Linked DNA regions of Alligator mississippiensis. Each later gene encodes a partner of the first gene's protein in a complex. Links are inferred from orthologs where the notes say so. Each region holds a gene or a part of one and is shown on either strand. Other genes may lie near its edges. The genes, in order: ING3 and ANP32E.

The links.
Region 2: ING3 (region 1) and ANP32E share a complex: the UniProt entries of both Homo sapiens proteins name them as parts of the SWR1-like complex. The link is inferred for Alligator mississippiensis from reciprocal best matches to the Homo sapiens genes ING3 and ANP32E.

The regions. Positions count from the first base shown.
Region 1 is NC_081827.1:46,129,277-46,139,742, reverse strand, and holds the start of ING3 (inhibitor of growth protein 3), read left to right. Parts: upstream 1-5,705; 5' UTR 5,706-5,830; coding exon 5,831-5,858; exon of another isoform or gene 5,859-5,861; coding exon of another isoform or gene 5,862-5,862; intron 5,863-5,970; coding exon 5,971-6,042; intron 6,043-10,466. UniProt on the Homo sapiens protein: Component of the NuA4 histone acetyltransferase (HAT) complex which is involved in transcriptional activation of select genes principally by acetylation of nucleosomal histones H4 and H2A.
Region 2 is NC_081838.1:18,367,242-18,377,721, forward strand, and holds the start of ANP32E (acidic leucine-rich nuclear phosphoprotein 32 family member E), read right to left. Parts: upstream 4,978-10,480; 5' UTR 4,877-4,977; coding exon 4,823-4,876; intron 4,662-4,822; exon of another isoform or gene 4,140-4,661; intron 3,730-4,139; exon of another isoform or gene 3,149-3,729; intron 1,771-3,148; coding exon 1,621-1,770; intron 809-1,620; coding exon 686-808; intron 1-685. UniProt on the Homo sapiens protein: Histone chaperone that specifically mediates the genome-wide removal of histone H2A.Z/H2AZ1 from the nucleosome: removes H2A.Z/H2AZ1 from its normal sites of deposition, especially from enhancer and insulator regions.

The DNA.
Region 1 (10,466 bases):
ACTAATTCTGACTATTCATATTATCTGACTACCTAATATGAATAAAACAACAGAAATGAAACTGTAGTGAAAAATGTGAGACTCTAGAGACAAAATTCACATTGAAAAAGCTAAGGGCAGATACTCTTGTTCCTATATACCTCTTAATAGATACTGAACCAGATAGATCCTACATTCACATTCTTAAAACCCCATTGTTGATTGTATCAGAAGACTGATTTTGACCTGAACTGAGTTGTCTAAACAGTAACTCAAGCTCCTGTCCCAAAATACTATAATACTCACTCTTCTTGAAGGAGAAAAAACAAATTCATATTAATTTTACAAGAGCTGTTAATATTCTCACTTTAAAAAAAGACATGGTATGACAAACATTTTTAAAAAATGACTTCATGTCCCCAAATTTCCCAAAACTCATTCAGCTTTTCTCTAAAGAAAACAGGATACAACTATCTTAACCTAAGATTTTGGGCTGAGTTTTCTTTTAATGTGAAGCCCTTTGACTTCAGTGAGTAGATAAAGATTCATCAATCCTCAGCTGCAGAAAGGATCAGAGTCTTAGTCCCCTGCACAACAAATTGTGTAGAAACAATTTTGTGTAGAAACAGGCTTCCTTTCCTGTCTCATTTTTGTTAAGTATCGGCATGCTATTCCTTCTGTAATGAAAATGACTCATTTAACTAGCTTGCTCTCATTTAATGGAGTTCTCTGACAACTTATAGCTGCTCTTCAATTAATTACTTAAGTTAATTTTATATCGTCATTTTAGAATCAGAGGTTGATAACACTGTGACCTTTCTGTAGAATTCAATGCATTCAATGAATTGAACTTATATTTAATAATGCAAAGCAGCTGGTTAAGATTATATATGAAGGACTTTATAAGTAAAATTTTTTGAGCCCAGTTTTCCTCCTGCCCAGGCAGGGGGTCAGACTCAAAGATCTACAAGGTCCCTTCTGACCCTACTTCTATGATTTTATGAAAATGGGTTTCCTCATTTATCTTAAAATGTCTCATGACAATCATCAATATTTGTCATTTTAGCTCCATGCATTGCACTTGGACAATGGGGTGTTTCCTGTAAGCAATATGGTACAGAGCTTGTCATCTAGGACAGTGATTCTCAACCATGCTGCTGTGGCATCCTAAAGCAGGGTTGGGCAAAATGCAGCCTGGGGGCTGGGTACGGCCCGCCAGGCCATTCTATCCAGCCCGCGGGGCCATTAAAACATTTAGAAAATTAATATTTATCTGCCTCTGGCTGCCTATCATGCAGCCCTCGTTGGCTTGCCAAAACTCAGTAAGCAGCCCTCCACCCAAACTAATTGCCCACCCCTGCCCTAGAGTGTCATGACATTCTTTTAAGGGTGCCACAGGGTTCCATGCAATACTAGCACTGTTAGGTGTGTAAACACCCACAAATGATTCATTAGATAAAGCCAGAGATTTCGAATAGGAATTCATAGTGTCAAGAGGATTCTTATTGCAGTTTTTCTGAGTTATTTGCAATGAAAGAATTGCTCTATTATTTTTTTTGTAGTAAAAAATGAGTGAAAGCTGAAAGCTGGCATTTTCTGAGGATGCCTCAAGTCTAAAAAGTTTGAGAATCACTGATCTAGGCCTTCTGGTTAATTGCAAAAGTATGATGTAATTTCTACCTAACAACTGTTCAATGACTGACATGGAATTAGCCAATGCTCTCAATCCAATTTTCCATGTATAAATGTACTCACCACAGAAATGCCAGAAGATACCAACTGTTAGTCATTGGATGTCTTTGCAGAATGGCCAAGGGTGGGATGTGTATGAAAAATGGGTGCTTAAATGCATGTGGAAGTGCCGGCGGCAAAACCAGAAATGCTGCTGGCACTTCTCTCAGGCGGTGCACCTCTATGCATCACCAATGCTTAAATGCAATCTTTCTTGAAGAAATCAACATTCATTGTTCTCAGACCTTTTTAGAAAAGCCTCTGTAGGTCACCACAATATAGGACTTTTTAAAATGTCTTTTTTTTTTTTTTTACATAATGTTTGTCCAAAAATAGTGAAAAGAAAACTATTTTCCACATATCCCAGATAAAAAAAAAATATGTCTGAGATTTAAAATTCAAATGTATTTTAACTAGTTATACATCAAAACTCTTTAAAAACAAGAAAAGTATCTGTTCTGCCACAATGGACTGGAGAAGGACTAACATAATACCCATCTCTAAAAAGGGGGTGGGAAATTACAGATCAGCTTTCCTGACTTCAATACCTGGGAAGTTACTGGAATAAACAATAAAACAGCCAGTTTGTAAACACCTGAAGGAAGAAGAGGTGATCACTAGTATCTGGCATGTATTTGCTAAGTGCAAAACATGTCAAACTATTGTGATTCCTTTCTTTGACAGGATAACTAGTTTGACAGACATAATGTACTTTGACTTTAGTAAGGTCTTGGTAGGTCCTACATGGCATTCTTATAAGTAAATTAGAGAAATAAGGGCTAGATAAAATCACTGCTAAGTCGAAACATAACTGGCTAAATAACCACAAGAAGAGAGTTACTATAAATGAATCAATGTCAGAACAGCCCAAAGTCTCACAGGGGTCTGTTATGTATCCTGTACTGTTTGACATTTTTATTAATAATCTGAAGGAACAGCAAGTTTCTCAATCAAGTTACAGAGGACATACAAGTGGGACGGCTTGCAAACTTTCTACAGGACAGAACAGGCCATAGCCTGGAGTTCCTCTCCTTTTCCTTCCTCTGCTCTCTCGTCTGCTTTGAGGGCAGGATGCTTTACCTTGAAACAGGCAACTGCTTGGTTGAGGCTGTGGCATCACTGGAGTCTGTTGGCAGCCAGCTGCTCCGAGCTCTTGATGCTGTCATCCATTTGTTCAGGTATGCCTTTAATGTGTCCTTGTAGAATTTCCTCTGGTCACTGCGATCTCTCAGGCCATAAGTGAACGGGGAGTAGATCACTTGTTTTGTAAGCTGAGAGCCAGACATCCACACACAATGCCCAGACCAGGGAAGTTGGTGCTTGAGGATTACTGACTCAAGCTGGTAACACTGGCTTTAGCAAGGATGCTGGTGTTTGTATGGCAATCTTCCTATTTGATGTGGAGAATTTTTCCAGGTGCATTATTGGTAATACCTATCTAGGCTCTTGAGATGACAATGGTAGGTCATTCTCATTTCACATCCATAGAGAGAAGTGGGAATGATGACTGCATTGTAGACCTGGATCTCGGTGTCTTTCTGGAGATCACAGTGAATAAAGATAGGCTGCAGCAATTTTCCAAGGGAGGCACTTGTGTACCAGATCCCGTGCTGCAGTAGCAACACATAGCGGGTGAATGGGGGTGCATGTGCACCCCCTGAGCACGCTGGTGCACCCTGTGACCAGCCACACTCCCCACTTAGGCAATGAGCGGGGGGCCGGGGGGGGGGGTGGCAGGCAGGAGCACCAATGTACCCCCTGCAAATGCTGGCCAGAGAGTGGGGGAGCCGATGTAGCACCATGGCCACTTCCAGAAGCACTGCAGCCACTTCCAGGTCAGCAAGTTTTTCTGCGGGGGAACTCTTACCCCCCAGGTGGCAAGATTGGCTGCGATTGCTGACTGGTCACTGGCACGTGCCCCCCCTGACTAAGACGGCACCAGTTGCCCATGCTGTGCTGGATCTCCTCATCAGTGTTCACTCTCTGAGAGGTAGCTACTGAGGTAGGGGAAGTTCTTGAATACCTCCTAGGTCTTTCCCTCAATGGTAATTTGGGTCATATTCATGGCCTGCAATGGGCTGATAGACCACTTCTTCTCGATATTGAGAGGGAGACCCAAAGTTCGGTAGGCTTTTGCAAAGAGATCTGGTGTGGTCTGGAGGTTTTCCTCAATGTATGCAAGGATGGCACACTTGTCAGAAGGTGGATGTTTTCAGAACTTTGGTCTTTGAGGGAAAACATCCCAAATTGAAGAGTACTCCATCCGTTTGATATTCAGTGTCAGTTCTGGAAGTAAGGTGGTCCTTAATGAGAACCAGGATGACTGTCAAAAAAATGGAGATCAGCATTAGAGTAACGATGCATCCTTGCTCGACTGCAGTTCAGATGACACATGGATCTGTTTCTGATCTGCTGCAAAGACTGCTCGTAGTCGTCTGGTCATGGAGAAGGCGTAGAACCTTGAAGAACTTTTCAGAAGTCAGTACTTTCCACAGGGGTTTGTGACTGGTGGTCACAATCAGAGGCCTTAGTAAGCTCACTGAAGGCCATGTACAGGTCCTGATATTGCTGAATGAAGCCAATGTTACCAGTATTAAGGTAGTGATACTCAAGCACCAACTTTGCTGGACCAGACATTGGATGTACATACAAAGCTCACAGAAGTTAATCGCAGTCCACTGACTTTATGTCAGGCCCATTTCATGTTTTGTTATATACACCAGTGTACCATTAGATATGAAAAAGGAGCTATTCATGACAGCATATGAAATGGGTACATACTGCATGGCATTTGTACAAAAAAAAGTGTGCAAGTTATATATATTGTCATCTCATGTGGTATTAGTGTCATATTATCAATCTTACATATTAAGAAATAACAACAACCAAAAATGTATATATATCACAAAAATGTTGACTTTATTCTCATGCCTGAAAAGGGCATTTTGTGCTTGAAACCTTGTTTAACACATATGCAAATTGTAAGATTTTAAATAATACTGTATTTCAGGTTCCTTTTATGTAGCTTCTAATTTTGGGGAGCAGATGGGGGGCAAGGGAGGCTTTAAGGCACTTTGATTCAGTACCTCAGGCACATCAAAAGCAGCAAATTTAGATTGACTTCCAGTTCTGTCTCATATACCCCAGAATTCTGCGCTATTGTAGGAATATTTGCAGAAATTGGGTGGCAAATTCTGAACGCAGAAGTGATTGATGAAGGCAGTGAATGCAATGAAACCTACTATGGAGCTCTGCTCCAAGGACTTTTTTGCATTGAAGAATGTGGGGGGCTTAACATGTGGTGCGATGCGTTAGCCAGGGTTTGAATGACACTCTGACTCTTTGTGTGGGGGGTCTGTGGCAGTGGCAGCCGGAAGCTGGAAGAAGCCACTGCCGTTGCCTTAAGTGCTTAGAAAGGCACGGGGTGGGCTGGGGGCCCTCATCTTTTTTTGGGGGGGGGGCGCTCTTGTCTCTTATGGGGACCCCCCCGTAATTCAAACCCTAGTGTCAACCAGGAGGGCTAGAAATATATGTAAAAAACTGAAAGCTGAGATCCTCCTGAAATAACATGACCCCAGGAGCTAGAGCTCTCAGGAACAGGAGCGGGGGCACCTCCAAAAGAGATTGAGAGGTAGCAACTCCAACTTCCAGGAGGGAAAAACCCTATGTCAACTATGAGGGCTAGAAATATATGAAAAGCTGAGCTCCTCCTAAAAAAACGTGACCCATTCAGATGTGCTTCAGGCCTTTGGGGCAGGAATACGAGCGAGTCACTGAGAAGCTCCACTTTGCCGCCCTGCACTTGGCACCGCAAGAACTTCCACTGTCCTGCCGCGCGGGATGAGGCCCCAGCTGGGCGCGGAGCCTCCTGGGACATGTAGTCCCCGCCCCCTTCCCCGCCGGGGTCCCCAGCGCGACTACACGTCCCAGGATGCTGCGGGGCCCGGGTACGTCAGCGCGGGCGGCAGCCAATCGCAACGCGGTTAAGGCGAGTGCCCGCCGCCGCCAATGTTGTTTTCGCTGAGTCGAGCTGCTGGCGTTGTTGGCGGCGGCGCCATATTGGAAGGGACGAGCCCGTTAGCGAGGAGCCCCTGGGCGCGGGCCCGGCCCGGCCGCCGCCATGCTGTATCTGGAGGACTATCTGGAGAGTGAGTGCGTGCGGCGGGGGGGGGGGACGGCGGCGCGGTGCGGGGGCGAGGGCGGCGCGGCGGCTCCCCTGCCTCCGGCGGCGGCTGACCCCCTCCCCCCGTGTGCCCGCAGTGATCGAGCAGCTTCCCATGGATCTGCGCGACAGGTTCACCGAGATGCGCGAGATGGACCTGCAGGTGCAGAGTACGTGAGTCCCGCCCCGCCCCGCCCCGCGCTCCCCTCCCCCCTCCTCCCCGCCCGCGGGGGGCGGGCCCAGCTCCAGCCCCCGCCCCACGCTCGGCCCCGGGCGCTGCCCCGCGGGGAGGCGGTGCCGCCGCTGCTGCTGCCGGGGCCGCGCGCAAAGAGGGGCGGAGCGCTGGAGCCCCGCGTGCAGGCGGTCCCCGGGGGCGGCGCTGCTGCCCTGCCGCTTCTCCTGGCAGCGGCTGGGTGCCCGCGTGGGGGCAGCAGCGCCAGGCTGCGCTTCCCCGGGGCGGCAGAGAGCTGCTGAGCGGAGTCTCCACGTGGGAGACCAGAAGACCCAGGAGGGGGCGACACTGCCTGGTCCTGTCTGCAGCTTTTTTTCCCCCTCCTTCTCCTTCTTCCTCCTCCTCCCTGTTTTATTCTTCAGTTTCATTGCCGTGTTGTTGCTTTGCATGGACTTGCTTGATTTCTACTTGGGGTCACCAAGTCTGTTTGAATCTGTTCCAGGAGGCTTCATCACATGATGTAATGACAGTCAGGAAGGCAAATGCACATGACTGTTGCGTTTTAAAAACCCACTGGACAACTGTATAAATCAGAGGTTGACACTTAAACGATAGGGCATTTATTAAAAGAAATATTATCTCCTGGGTGACTCAGCAGTCTCCTGGAAATTTATCTCCAATTCCTGGAGGGTTGGCAACTCTATTTCAACCCCACCTGCCTTGTCACCTTGGTGGCACCCATATGCAACCTCATGCCTGCTGTGGGCTGACACCTCAGTTACAGCACGAGGTCTTGGTGTTTGCGCTGGTGTCTGGACTGTGAAATAGCATTTCTATTTCTCTGGTCCTCGAGATCATCCCGTTCTTCCTGGGTGAGATCCCAGTCCACAACTCCAAACTTTGTGTTGCCAGCAAATAGCGTTTATGCATCCCATGCTCCGTCTTTTTCAGGCTACAGTGCTTGAAATCCATGGGACTCCACTCATGATATGAGGCAATGTGTTCTTTTAAAGAGTAAGGCAGAACTAAGAGTAAACAAGCTCAAGTTGAGACCACATGAGTGGCAGAATATGTTTGGGGAGCTGGCCAAATCACATCTATTCATCCTCAAAGTTTTAGTCCCACTTTTAATGCTTTTTTTTTTTTCTCTTGTGCTGTGTCAGGTACTAAATCTCTTCACAGAAACTCTTGATAAACCTGAAGAAGGGTGTTTGTGCCTGAAAGTTTGCAAAGAACAATTTTTCCTACTACTCAGTTGGTCTAATACAGGAGCGGGCAATTATTTCAGGCAGAGGGCCACTTACCGAGTTTTGGCAAGCTGTAGAGGTCCGCATGGGTAGCTTCGTTCCTTGCCAGGTGCCCCGCTCCCTGGTCACCATCTTGGGACTGGAAGTCCCACCTGCTTAACCTCTGACCTTTGCCACCAGAAGTCCCTCTCCTTGCCCCTGCAAGTACTCCTTTGGGGAAGAGGGTTTGCCATCTAAGGTGGTGGTGGAAATAAATTATATAGTAAAAGTCAGGCACCCATAATGATATATTTTAATTTAATTTAAAAAAATATTATTATCTGATTTGTGTGTGTTTGTGCTATATATGTAGAAGTGATTGCATAAAAGCTCAAAATACAGTCGTATACTGTGTCGGGTGTGCATGGGTGTCAGGAGGTATGGGGTAGGTGGTTTGTGGGGAGCTTTGTGTGGTTGGGTATGGGGGTTTGTTGGGATGTCTCTGGGTATGGTATTGTGGGTATGGGAGACACAGGGTGCAGAGCGGCCAGCGGGTGGGCAGGAAAGTGGGCATTTCCCTGCTTGCATCCCCCTGTTCTCAGCTGTGCGCAGGAGTGGAGGGTCCTGCCCAGCCTGGCGCGGTCCTGGTGCATGGGCAGCACCTTATTGGGCTCATCCATCACCGTGGGAGCAGGACAGAGCACACAGAGCCAGCTGCCTCCCTCTTGGGGCTGCCCTGCTGCCTACACGTAACTACCGGTAGCGGAAGCCACGGCTCCCATCTGGCTGCGCACACCCACTCGCTCCTAGCCCCGCCAGCCCTAGCCCTGTGGCACAGGCAGGGATGACTGCAAGCAGCCCTGACCCCACGTGCCCCACCCTCGCCTGTGGGCTGAGCACCGTTGGCAGTGGGGAACAAGCTGCTGCTCAGCATGAGAGAAAAGTAGCCATTCCCCCTCCTGCCACCTGTGCTCCCTGTGGCAGCCGCCCAGAGCCCATGCAGGGCTGTCCTGCCTCTCCTCTGTGCCCCTGCCACCCATGGGGCAACTGTGGCAATGGAGAACGGGCACAGGCAGCCCCACGTGGCCTCCAAGCAGATGTTGCAGGGAGTGCCAGTGGCGGGAGGGGGAGGGACCGCTTTTCCCCTCAGTTGCAGTTTGTTCCTCACTGCTGCTGCCAGCCTGGGCCCTGCACTGGCTCCAGGCTCGCCCATCAGGCTGAGTAGTAGCAGGGCACGAACTGCTGCCAGGGCAAATGAAAATACACCCCCCTTACCACCTCTGGGCTGTGTTTGCTGGGGGAGCCCACACCATGCTAGGCTCCGCTGCAGCTCTTTTGCTGCCGGCTCTGTGCTGCCCAGTGCTGCTGCTTCACGTGGCCACAGAGCTGGCGGCAAAAGAGCCACAGCAGAGCCTAGCGTGGAGCAGGCTCCAGCAAACTGCCCAGCGGAAGGGGGAGTGCTTTTCCTCTGCACTCAGCTGCACTTTGTTTGTCACCGCTGTTGTCAGCCTGGGCGCCGCAGCGGCTCCAGGTTCACTCAGTGGCCTGAGCAGCAGCAGTGGCAGAGCACGAAAAGCTGCTGGAGCGGCAGAAAAGCAGCTGCTTCACCTCCCACCACCGGTGCTCCCTGTGGCAGCTGCTTGGAGCCCACACAGGGCTACCTGTGCTCTCTCTCCACTGCCACCACTGCTCCATGGGTGGTGGGGACATGGTGGACAGACAGGATAGCCCCAAATGGGCAGGGAATGCTGGCAGCAGGAGGGGGAGGGGCAGCTTTTCCCTCTTGCTGAACTATTGGCTTGCTCCCTGCTGCTGCTGTTGCTCAGCCCGGATGGACGAGCACAGGGTGTGCAGGATCAGTGCTGTTTGCGGTCATTCCCACCTGTGCCCGCCACGGGGCTGGGAGCAAGCAGGCACGTGGCAGCTGGGCAGGAGTGTGGGACCTGTGCCAGTGCCAGCACCGGCATGGCCCAGAGCAGGCGACAAGAGTGCAGGGTCCCAGCTGGCTGGGGCTCTTTGGAGCTGGGCCAGCTCCCCTCTCCCTGCTGGCACAGTGGAGCCCAGCTCCATAGACCCCTGCCATCCTACACCCCATGTTCCTGCCACTTGCTCTGGGCCCTGCCAGCGCTGGCCCCGGGACACTGGCATAGGCCCCACACTCCTGCACGCCTGCCCCCACTACCACTTTCCCCACTTCCTCTTTTTACCTGAATTTCCTTCTCAGGGGCTTCTGGTTGTGGGGTGGGTCTGGGTGGACCCTGCTATTGCAGGAGCCTGCTGGGGCTTCCCCTGGGTCCTACTGCCCCTGGCTGTTGTCATCTTTGACAGACAGCTGGGGCAGACAAATATTAATTTTCTAAATTTTTTTTAGGGGCTCCACAGGCCAGATAGGATTTGGCCCATGGGCCATATTTTGCCCACCCCTGGTCTAATACAAGATATCACATTTACCTAAAGAACCTTGTGTGCCTTCATAAACACAACATTTAGGCCCTGGAAGTCTGTAGGAAATGTTTTGACATGCACCTTGTGTTCCCAGTAACTTTTGCATAGCAAGAGAGAGCATCTTTAAGCATTGTAGAAATTTCAGGCTCCTTTCTCATCTCTTCTGGTCTAAGTACTTGTGAGGATTCCCACCAGTTAAATGCTATAGATAAACCAGAAGAATCTTCTGGCAGTGCAGAATTCCATATTTCCACATTTTGAACAACTGTTTAGTCAGCTGACTCCTAAGTTAGTGATGGCTCAGAAATCTGCAGGTGCTGCGACTCGAGCACCTGGCCAAAAACTTCTCTCCATTAGAATTTGAGCTGCTCTTGGATCATATCTTGCACCAGCTAATGAAGGGGTATTTCTTGCCACCAAGCAGTAATGGAAAAAGTGTAAGTAGCAGGTTACAACTATTCCATTTGAGATAACCATGGCGATATTGAAGCTCAGCTGAATTGTATCCAGACTTTTGAGCCTTGAAGTGGAGATTTTTCAAGTGAAGTATTTATTGTCTTTCTGGCTTTCCATCCAGAGTGGATGGATGGTCAAGAAGAAGCTTGTGCACTAGAGAGTAACTCCTTTGAAGATTTGAGAAAGCAAGGGTAGAAAAGTCACCCCCCGTTCTCTTGGGTTCCAGTTACCCACACGAAAAAGGGTGCTTGCCTTTACTTTAAGGACAACCTTCTAGAGGCATGACACACTTCAA
Region 2 (10,480 bases), on another chromosome or scaffold:
TGAACTGTTTTTACTAGGCCACAAACCACTTGTTAAAAATGGTCTTGTGGATACCTTTCATTCACTAACCAAGCAGTTTAACTTTTTTTTCAGCATAAATCGGTTGTTATTAAAGAAATCACGGTGTCTTTTAATGCATTTTAACCACTGGAAACAAATACGGGCAATACAAAACTATTGCTGACAGACCACAAGTTTGAATACATTTCCTCCTGTAAATCCCACGGCTGACACGAAATTGATTATTACCGTGTCTTTACAAGTCTGTCTCTAATGAACCGTAGGATGATGCATTTATTGCAATAGGAGTAATCAATACTGGCCTAAGTGGGATTCAGAAATTCAAAAAAAAGAAGATTCAAATGTTGCCAGAACTGGCAACAAAAAGCTACCCAAGGCTGGGGAAATAGTGAGAGTTTTACTTTTTGGATACTGTTCAGTTCTGTTGAATGTCACAGTTATGCCATCTTGTTTATTATCTTTTTGTGTTTTATTGATTTCCTATTTAAACTGTGTTTGTTGTACTTATCCCTTCTACTTGCAATGACCTTCTATCGTCAGGCACTTACAAACTTTACATTTGCATTCAATTATAAAATTATTATTATTTTTCTTTTATAATGCTAGAAAGATTCTGACTTCTTTAAGGCATTGCAATCTTCTAAGAATCTGACTTTGTACTTACAAGGGCTTCCACAGTGCTGAGATCTTTGATTTTGTTGCCACTTAGATTTAGATATGTGAGATTTGGACATCTTTCTGCCAGGACCTCTAGGCCTCCCGAAATGACGTTGTCGCTCAATTCCAGCTACAGCGCACAAAAGTTGGATAATTAGATGGTTGGTTTGATTGCTATCAAAATCAAGAGCCTGTATTTTATTGAAAGAACAAATGCATCACAAGACTATTGACTTCCTGTAGAGCCCGTAAAACCTCAGATTACTTGCATAAAATGAAGTCTGGTTAAAAATATAGCAACCCATGTTGATCACATGTACGTCTCTTCAGAGCCTAACATTTATTTCAGAAGCTCTTCACACCTGCACTTGATAGTGATAATTCATTAACTAGTTTCATACTTGGGTGCCTACAGACACTTAAGCATGTTCTACTGTAAGTCGGCAAGTGATCTCACCGATTCCAACTGCTCAGTTAGCATACTTAGTATGGTGCAAACTTAAAATATTTCCAGGCTTTATTTTTTACACGGGGATGTGAAACATAGCATTGGATCTTTGTACAGGCTTTAGGTCAACAGACTAGGTTGAAACTGGTTCCTTACAGGTAACGAACAATGACTTCAGTGTTCCCAGCACTTCACCTAATGTGATTGCTCCCGACCCCCTCTCTTTACAACAGAATGGGATGGCCATCGTTAACACAGTTTTCAAGTGATACTTTTTCAGTACTTTGGCTCATTAATGTTTGAAACCAGCATTAATTACATTCAGGGTCTTAAAGACTTAATTCTTAAGTTAGCAATGTTTAGTAAAACATTTCAATGAGATGCGTATTTCCATAGTCACAGTCACGTTTGCAAGTAGTTTAACTGTTGGTGTGTTTCAAGGTATACAACTTTGGCAGGAGAGAACGGATGGGTTTTTGTCTGAAGATGCATACCTTTCGGAGCTTACTCAAGGTGGGGAGCTTGGCCAGGGATGTCAGCTCTACGTTGGCCATGCTGAGAAACTCCAGCTCTTTAAAGGAGTCATTCAGACCTTCAATTTCGCCATTGCTGGATCGGCAGTTGTCAAGCACTAACTCTGTCACCTTGAAACAAAACAGAATGTCACTTATTACTTTAATAGGGACCCTCAACCAAGCAAGCAATTCGGGTCAAACCAGCAGCCTGACGACAGGCTTTGCTTCTCATCTGGGAAGACCTGAACTTGAGTTGTCTGAACTCATCGACCATATCAACCTTGAGAGGAAGTAAACAGAGTATGAAGCACCATCACAGAGAACCAGAAGATAAAAAACTTAATTTATTTGTTAACATGCTGGCTTCAGAAAGCACAACCACCAAGACAGAGTTCACAATCGCAGTCCTTTACAGGGCCGGACAAAAACCCATGGTCCTGGTTCTGATGAAAGCCAGGAACAGATGCATCAGAAGAAGCAAGGAGCCAAAAGCCAACTAGGCAATTACAGAATGACCTACCCATATAGTTTCCTTCCATAGCCATCACTTAATGGTTGCTTCATGCCCAGATGAGGGTTTATATTCCCATTCACTATTTAAAATAAGGGGGTATAGCCTCACTTGCCAGAAAAAAAGCACCAAATCCTCTTGTAAACCCTATAGCTTTGACCCTCAAAATACTGAGGCAGGGAGTATCATAGGTTAATAATGCACCAGACTGAAGCATTTGCTTCTTCATTCTAGATGCATTTACTCTGTGTCGCTGAACATCTTGCAGGGAAAAATCCATTTTCTGCTTGTCTGTCCTCCATGTCCCCACAAGTGGGCTGACCACAGTTGCTATTTTACCAATCCGGCTGCAAATGAAAAGGATTAAATGCAACACCAGTCTGGGAAGTTCAGCTCTGAAAGAGTCATCTGTAGAGATGACTAAAAAAGTCACTTGTTCACTGGCGACTTCTGAGTTATTTTGGTGGGCATGAGCTGCTCATTTGTTTCAAGTTTACAATCTTATTTCATGTTGCTGCAGAAAAAGTTGACCAGAGAGACTAGCTTTGAATTGTTTTGTGGTTTCCAAGTCCCAAAGTTGTTCAGGTTTTGCCCTGAAGAAAAGGGAAAGACTAAAACCATTTGGGGGGGGGGGGGTAACTCCAGCCACAGTTTAAAGGCTTTAAAAAAATAATCCAACACAGTCAACTTGTTAAAAAATATACTGTTTATCTGAGTAGTAGTTTTTATGCAGGGAATCTTTGTGCAATCAGTCACCCAGGCTGGGGTGGAGTAAAAGCACTTTGCAATATCAACCTATCTGGACTTTATTCTTGGGGAGAGCAAGACACGCCAGTCGATAGCGTCCTTACTGACCTAAATGCAAAAACATCTGCTGGAGCGACAAATCATTTGTTGGCCGAGTTTAACAGCAGGGAAGCGGAGGCTGCAAGTTGATCAGCCTGCTCTCCATGCAGCTGGCACTGCAGTCAATGAAATTACTACAGGAGATTAACTAAAACCACGACCCTCTCCTAAAAAGCAAAGCGCAGCCACAATCTTTCCCTGCGCAGCAGGGGAAAAAAACATGCATCAGATAACCACCTGCCTACAGCCACCTCGGGGAGGGTGGGGGTGGAAAAAAAGTACGTTTAACAATAGACGAAGCCTCTTCAGACATCACATCTCAATTCTGCGCATCTCGATTTGTTTTTGTAAGCACGAGTGCCTTGAGGCTGGCCAGAACCAAAATGGCTCGGGATTAAAAAGTTAAGAGAAATACTTTCAAGATGCCGTTGGCCCCCTCGCGCTGCGTTTCTGGACTTGACGTCAAAGGAAGAGGATTGAAAAAAAAAAAAAAAAAAGAAAAAAAAAGAACCCCCCCCATAAAGTTTTGCCATCACTGGCTTGCACGGGACTTTTGTTTTGAAGTCACGCCGGAGCGGCAGGGGATGGCATTTTCTGCAACACTGGAGCACCACTCCCAGCGCCGAGTTCGCGGAGGGAAGGAGCTACCTGACTGTAGCTGCATGGCGGGCAGGGAGAAGAGCCCTCCTGCGTTGTTCATGACCTCCCAACCGCGAACCTGACTGCTCTCGGTGGGTGGAGGGACCGGCCAGGAGCCTATCTTGTCTCCGATGACTGAGCAGGACCCAGCAGCAATCGCCTTATCTGCCTTTAGCCATTAGGAAGGCCGGTTATAAGCCGTGTGGCTGCAAGGGAAGGAGAGGAGGGTGCCATTACCCCATCATGTGCTCTCTGGGCAGAGCTGAAAAAACTCGGGGAGGGTGGAGGTGGGAAGGAGAAAGAAGAGAATCATCATCACCATCATCATAATAACGATAAGTAATAATAGATCCAATCCTGAATAAACAGCCCCAAACGTCAGCCGAGACACAGGCCAATTTTGACGAAAAGAGGGTTTCTGATCCTCTCCGATCGCCGGCTGGAGGAAAGCAAAGTCGGATCTACCCAGATGGTGTGATCTTTTTTTTTTTTTTTTTTTAAGATGGATTCGGTGCCACTACGACCTGTTTACAACCTCCACCAGCGAGAAGTTAAAAATAAATGAAGACCCATCCTGCCAGCAATGCCAGCGCGGGAGGGATGGGCGAGCGGGGGGCACGCGACTTCGGGCTTCTCCCCACCCCAAAGAAAAGCAGCTGTCGATTTATTCATTTATTTTTAAAAAGGATCCTTTAACACCTCCCCCCCAAAACTCACCCCCAAACACAACCGAGAAACTTATGGCGGGCGCATCGCGGTGGCTGACCCAGATTCGGAGTTCACCGAAGGAAAAAGGGGGAGGCGGAAAAGAAAAGCAAGTTCCTAATTTCCCCAAAATCAGCCGAATAAGGAGAGCAGATGCCCGCAGCAGCGATCGCAGCGAGCCCGTGCCCAGCGGAGGGGCTCCCAGCCCTCCTTCACTTTTCGAAAAGCAGCGCAGCGGGCAGAAAAAGCCTTTGGCCAGTCCAAAAAAAATCTTATCGTTGCAATAATAATAATAATAATAATGATGATAATAATAACACACGGCCGGGAGGTGAATAATTAGGAGAATGCACCATAAGGCACAAATGCGTAGTAAGGAGCACGCCGAGGAGGGGTGTTTTGGGGCCCGGGGCTCCTCCATGCCGGGTCGGGGCACGCGCAGCGCCGGGCACCGCCGCGACATGGCGGCCCCGTGCTCACCTTCTCGGGCGCGCGGTTCCTCAGCTCCAGCACCACGCGCTTCATCATCTCCATGGCCGAGCCCGCGCGGGCAGGGAGAGCTGGGCCGCCGCCCCCCGCGCCGCCGTCCCCCGCCGCCGCCGCCGGCCGGAGCTCCGCGCTGCTCAGTAGCCGGGCGCGCACTGAGCCTCCATGACATGGCGCACGGCGCCCCCTCGCCCAGGACACGCCCCCCGCGGCCGGCGGGGCGGGGCCAAGGAAGGGGCGAGCGCTTCCTCTCGATGCGCCGCTTTCCATTGGAGGAGCGGCGCGGCGCGCGGCGGCGGCCGATTGGCTCCGCCGGACGCCCGTCGAGGCTCCGAGCTTTTAAATGCGACCGTTGGCGGCGGTTGGGCGCCATTATGCGCCACGCGGTTCTGGTGGTTTGGTCTGTGGGGGTTAGGCCTGGGTGTCTAGAAGCAGATTAATGAAGTGTTACGGGCACTAAAAACAAAAAAAGGGACCTGTGTAGATGTTAGGTGCGAAGGCAGAGATTAGCAGCATGACGGGCTAAAGATAACACGTGTATTTAGTTAAACTGCTGCAAGGAACTGGCAGATACTTGTGCAAAGGGCTTGAAAGAGGAGGGGTGGTGTTGGGACCTGCTGGCTTCCGGTCCCAATTCCCAAACGAAGCCCTTTTGCTTTGATTAGGGCACGCGGCATCCTGGGGTGTCGCTTTTGAGGGTGCTGCGGCGTGCCGGGTAGTGTTTAGCCTTGTTAGGCGTGCACGCGTGATTCACCAGAAGAGAAACATAGGGGCTTTCATACAGGAATCAACAGAGTTCAAATCGTTGCGGTGTTGGGGGCTTTCTCAGCGCTTTGCGACAAGGCAAAAATGATTTGTCATTTGACAAAAAAAACCACTCGGGTGAAATCAGTAGTTTCTAAGGGGCGCCTGACGTCTAGAAAAATTGAGAACCGTGGGTTTAGTTCACTGCTGTGGAAATACCCAGTTGTTGGGGCGTGCAAGGGCAGCAAAAGTGCTCAGAAAGGCTGCCAAATTTGTGGCCTCACCATCTCTCGGGTTCAGGGGGAACGGGCAATGCAGGCTGGCATCCTTGATTAGTGCGAGGGACTGGTACGATGAGAGAACCGAAACAATAAATGCCGTGAAGACAAGGACTGCAAGCTCGTGACGGGTGTAGCGGTGAAGCTTCTAAGGAAAGAGAATAGTGTGGTCGGGGTTCACTGAGCAGCAGAGATTTGACCTGTCAAGAAGACCAGAGATTAGGCTGCAGTAGGTACTGGGCCATGAAGACCTAGACAGCAGTTAACAATGTGGGTGTCAAGAAAAAAACAAAGAAAAAAACCTCTTGGTGATAGTTCAGAGGTGGCGGCAGGTTTTGCCACGGTCTGAGAAAAGGGTCTAGAGCTCGATTCTCAATCGGGGGGCCACAGCAAACCAGATTCACAAGAAAAAACTAGAGATTTCAAATGGGGATCTAACATTAAGAACGGCTCTGCCTTGTCCGTGCTGATTGATCTTTCTGAGCTCTTTGCAACAGAAGAATTACTTTTCATGGTTTTACTTCAGTCAAAAAATGAGTGAAAACAAAGAGCTGGCATCTTCTATGGGGGGGCCTCGGGTCTAATGAGGGGTGCTGCGAGTGAAGATTGAAACCACTGGTTTAGAGAAAGGCACCGTCCTGCCCTTTCTCCTAGGTTATATGTAGCTTTGCGTTATCAGATGGCAGTGCCCTGAAACACTGAAAACAGGGTTGGGGTATAATAAAGAAGCCTAGCCCTTGCTTGTGTTTGCAAAAGCATCTGGCAGGGTGTTAAGCTTCTTGCTTTGTCTGTGAGATCTTTTGGTCTTGTGGCAGAGAGAGATTTCGTAGACGTAGAAGAGCTGCAAACGATTTTGACTGGAAATATAATGGGCCTTTTCCCAAGTGTTACGGTGGGAATCATCAACGTCACTAGAGCTCAGACTTAAAGCAAATGGTTCGTTCTTCAAAGAAATGCACTGATGCTAATTTAGCAATGCTGTTTCTTTGGGGAAGCTACGGCAAGGAGCAAAGGAGTTTGCTGGAGTCTATCCTTAGACAGATGAAGAAAGGGTTGAAATACTTTTTTCTCATCAAATTTCCCCAGAAAAGGTTGACAAGCACAATTAGCATCAAGAAAGGGGAGAACTGCTGTGAGCCCAGAGGAGGAAAAGAACAATTTGGGGATTATTTCAGTAAGCTTAGCATTTTCAAACCAGCAGGACCTGATGAGATTCATCCTAGAGCACTCAAAGTATTAGCTGAATTAATTGCAGGCTCATTGACCTATTATGTTTGAGAGGTGAGGTGAGGTCTCAGAGCTGGAAGAGGACAAATGCAGTAGTTTAGAAAAGGGGAAAAGGAAGATGCAGCAAATTGCAGAGCAGTCTAATTTTAGTGCTGGGGAAGACGCTGGAGGGCATGTATATATTAAAAAAAGACTTGTAACCGCTTAAAAGAGAACTAGCTGATAAGTGACAGCATGATTTTATTAAGGGCAAGTCAGGTGTAACCAATCTGATTGTCTTCTCTGACAAGGTAAATGAGCCTGGTGTGCGTGGGGTGGGGGAAGGCAGTGGATGCCATGTACCGCTTGTTTTTAGTATGGCTTTTGATACAGGCTCCTGTGCCACTATCTCGAGCAAACTAAGGCAATATCATCTAGGTGCAACTAATACAAAGTTGGCGCATAATTGATTGGATAATTGCATATAAAGAGTAGAAGGAGGCATTGAGTGGAGCCCTCCAGGATGCGTTCTGGTCCAGTACTGTTCAAATACCAGTTGAATGAAGTGCATGCTTTGTGCATTTGCAGATAACCTCCAGCAGGACGGGACTAAGATTCAAAATGATTTGGATAAAGCTGAGAAATGGTCTTAAAGAATTAGGATGCAATTCAGCGAGGGCAAGTGAGGAAAGAAGAATCAGATACACAAATACAGACTAATGACTGTCTAGGCTAAAGCCATGTGGAGAAGGAGCTACGGTTCAAGTGGATTGCAAGCTGATGTGGGTAAACGGCATGATTTTGTATGAAAGCAATGCCATCCTAGGTTATGTTCATAGACGTGCAGCATGAAGTGAGTTCTTGTTCAGGGCGGTCCTCACCTACCACAGTTTGGAGCCCAGCACCTGCAGAAAGATGTGGGCAAACTGGGCAGAACCCAGAAGAGACCAAACCAGAATGGTTAAAAGTCTGGAAAGCACTAACATAAGAGGAAAGGCTGGAGGAACGGGGATTATTTAGTCTAGAAAAGAGAAGAAAGTTTTTTCTTTCTATGGGAAGGTGACTTGGAAAGCCGTGACATCTTGCCATGCAATGACCCTAAAACATTAAAAAAACAAGGATGTGCTATTAGACAGCTTTTACAGATGGGCAAACAAAGGCACAAATATATCTGGTGCCCACCCCGTGTCCATGCGAGTCAGCGGTAGGCCTGGGAACAGAAGCCTTGATAGTTCCCCTGCTGGCTTTCCCCACTCAGCCTGCCTTAGGCTTGGGGTTTGGGGCAAATTAGTGTAAAAACAGACCTTCAATTTTTTCAATTTGGCTGTTGTATTAGCATTAATGCCAAACACACGAATTTGGGGATTAACTAGCTCAACAGTAAATAAAAAGGGGTGGGGGCGAACCCTCACTGAGCATAGGCCTGCAGTTTGGTCCCACTCACCACTAAAATAATTAGTAATAAATGTTGACACAAAATAGAGGGGAATCAACCATAGGCAATGTGTAGTTGGGGGCACATGCCCCCCCTGAGATTGGCCCTTGCTGGCTGGGGAGTGGGGGGTGCTAGCTGGTGCCCCCTGAGATTGTGGGGGTGCCAAGAGAAGTGTCGGTGGCACTTCTGGGTTTGCTGCTGGCGCTGCTGCTGGAAGTGGCGATTGGCTGCTGGGAACTCCCCCCCCCCCCCCCCCCCCCCCGGGTTCCAGTCGGCATTTGGCTGTTGGTGCCCCCCTGGTATCAGGAGCCAGCAGTTGCCCATGGAATCATCAATATACTGAACAACAGGAACAATAAAAAAAAAAAAAAAAATCAATGAAGCAATACACCAACCGTACTAACAGCTATAGGACACAGAGAAGAATTCTCACAGCAGGTGCTAGGGAGCAGCTTGGCTTTCCTTCCTGCCACCCCCATGCCTTTGCTGCCTGGCGAGCCAATCGCACAAACTCACTGTCTCAGCATCACTTTTCACCCTGGCCCTTGGGCACGCGGCTCCAGAGCACTCTTGCACCTCTCCTCAGGTACAAGCTTCATGTGCAACCTTCCCACCTACACAGGAGTGTGGTCGCTTGAGCCTTCACTCGGGCGTACATGTGGTCCAATTGTCCAGTGTGTGTGAGTGGGGGGCTGAGAAACCGCCCTCCAGCCCGTTGGCCATCCCTACGGACCTGAGACTAGTCACATCATCACCCAGGACCGTAGCCATGACATTATGTAAGGCAGCAAGTGCTTGGAGGTGCTGTCAGGGGCGCTGTGGTTTGCAGCTGCCCCACAGAAGGGCCGTGGTGTTAGATAAAAGTAGTTTACATATTAGATAAGAAAAGTGAATGTAGTAGGTAGGGGAGATCCAGCTTGACTTCTCAGGGTGTCTGGCCCCCAGGACCTGTTCCCTTTCTGGAGATTTTGAGGCTTCAAGGTGGTGCCTGCCTAAGCTGCCCTTGGTGCCCTCAAGGCAGGATCCCCTGCGTGGGGCCCAGTAGAAGCGCAGCGGAGACCTCTTCCTTTCTTGCAGAACCTGCAGTAATCGCACCACAACACCGTACAATGTGTTTGGGGCTCACGAATTGTCCCTGCCCCAAACCTCAGCCTGACCCCAATCCCTGATGTCTCACGCAGCAGGATTCAGGTCGCTGGCTTAGAGCAGGGCTGCGTCCTGCAGCCGACCAGGGCAGGCCCACCCCAACGCGCTCTCCAACAGTAAATGAAAGCAGGGTCGAACATTAAATTTTTTAGTTTAGTTCTGGTTCAGGTTCAGCTGCAACTGAAGTTGTTCCAGTTTAGTTCTGGTTCAGGCCAATAAAGGTTCAGTAACCGGTTCGGCACACACAACCAACTGGTTCAGTTCTGGTTCACATGAGAAAATTTAAATAAGGTACATAATTTATAATGATGGTCATTTGCATAGTGGGGTGGAGCAAGCTAAATGACTGTTGCCAACGAAGTGTCAGCAATAAGTACTACGAAGCACGCGTGAAACAAAAAATAAATTCTAAGTACTTAACAAATAAATGCTTATTTTATTTGTATTGTTTAATTTTAATTGTACAATCAGAGACGTGTAATAGGTGAAGAAGCAAATTTAAAGAAGCAGTTTTAAAGAGGAAGGAAAAGAAAAGGACCTAGTAAATAATCATAGAACTGTCCCTGTGATTAGTTAGTTAACTTCTCAAGATTATATAGTTTTCAACTCATTTAATAAAACTAGGGAAACAGAATTATCAACCTTAAACAGATGGATCTTAGGCCTATCATATTCCCGACACGCTTGACTTGCATTGTTTTGTACTCAGTATTACAGCTGTCTGTCATTTCTATGCAGTCTCATTAACAACATCCTTCAAGATTGCCTCCTTCATATTGGATCTTTGTGGTGACAATATGGACTTTCAAGTTGAAAATGCTTGTTCCATGCTTACTCGAGTTG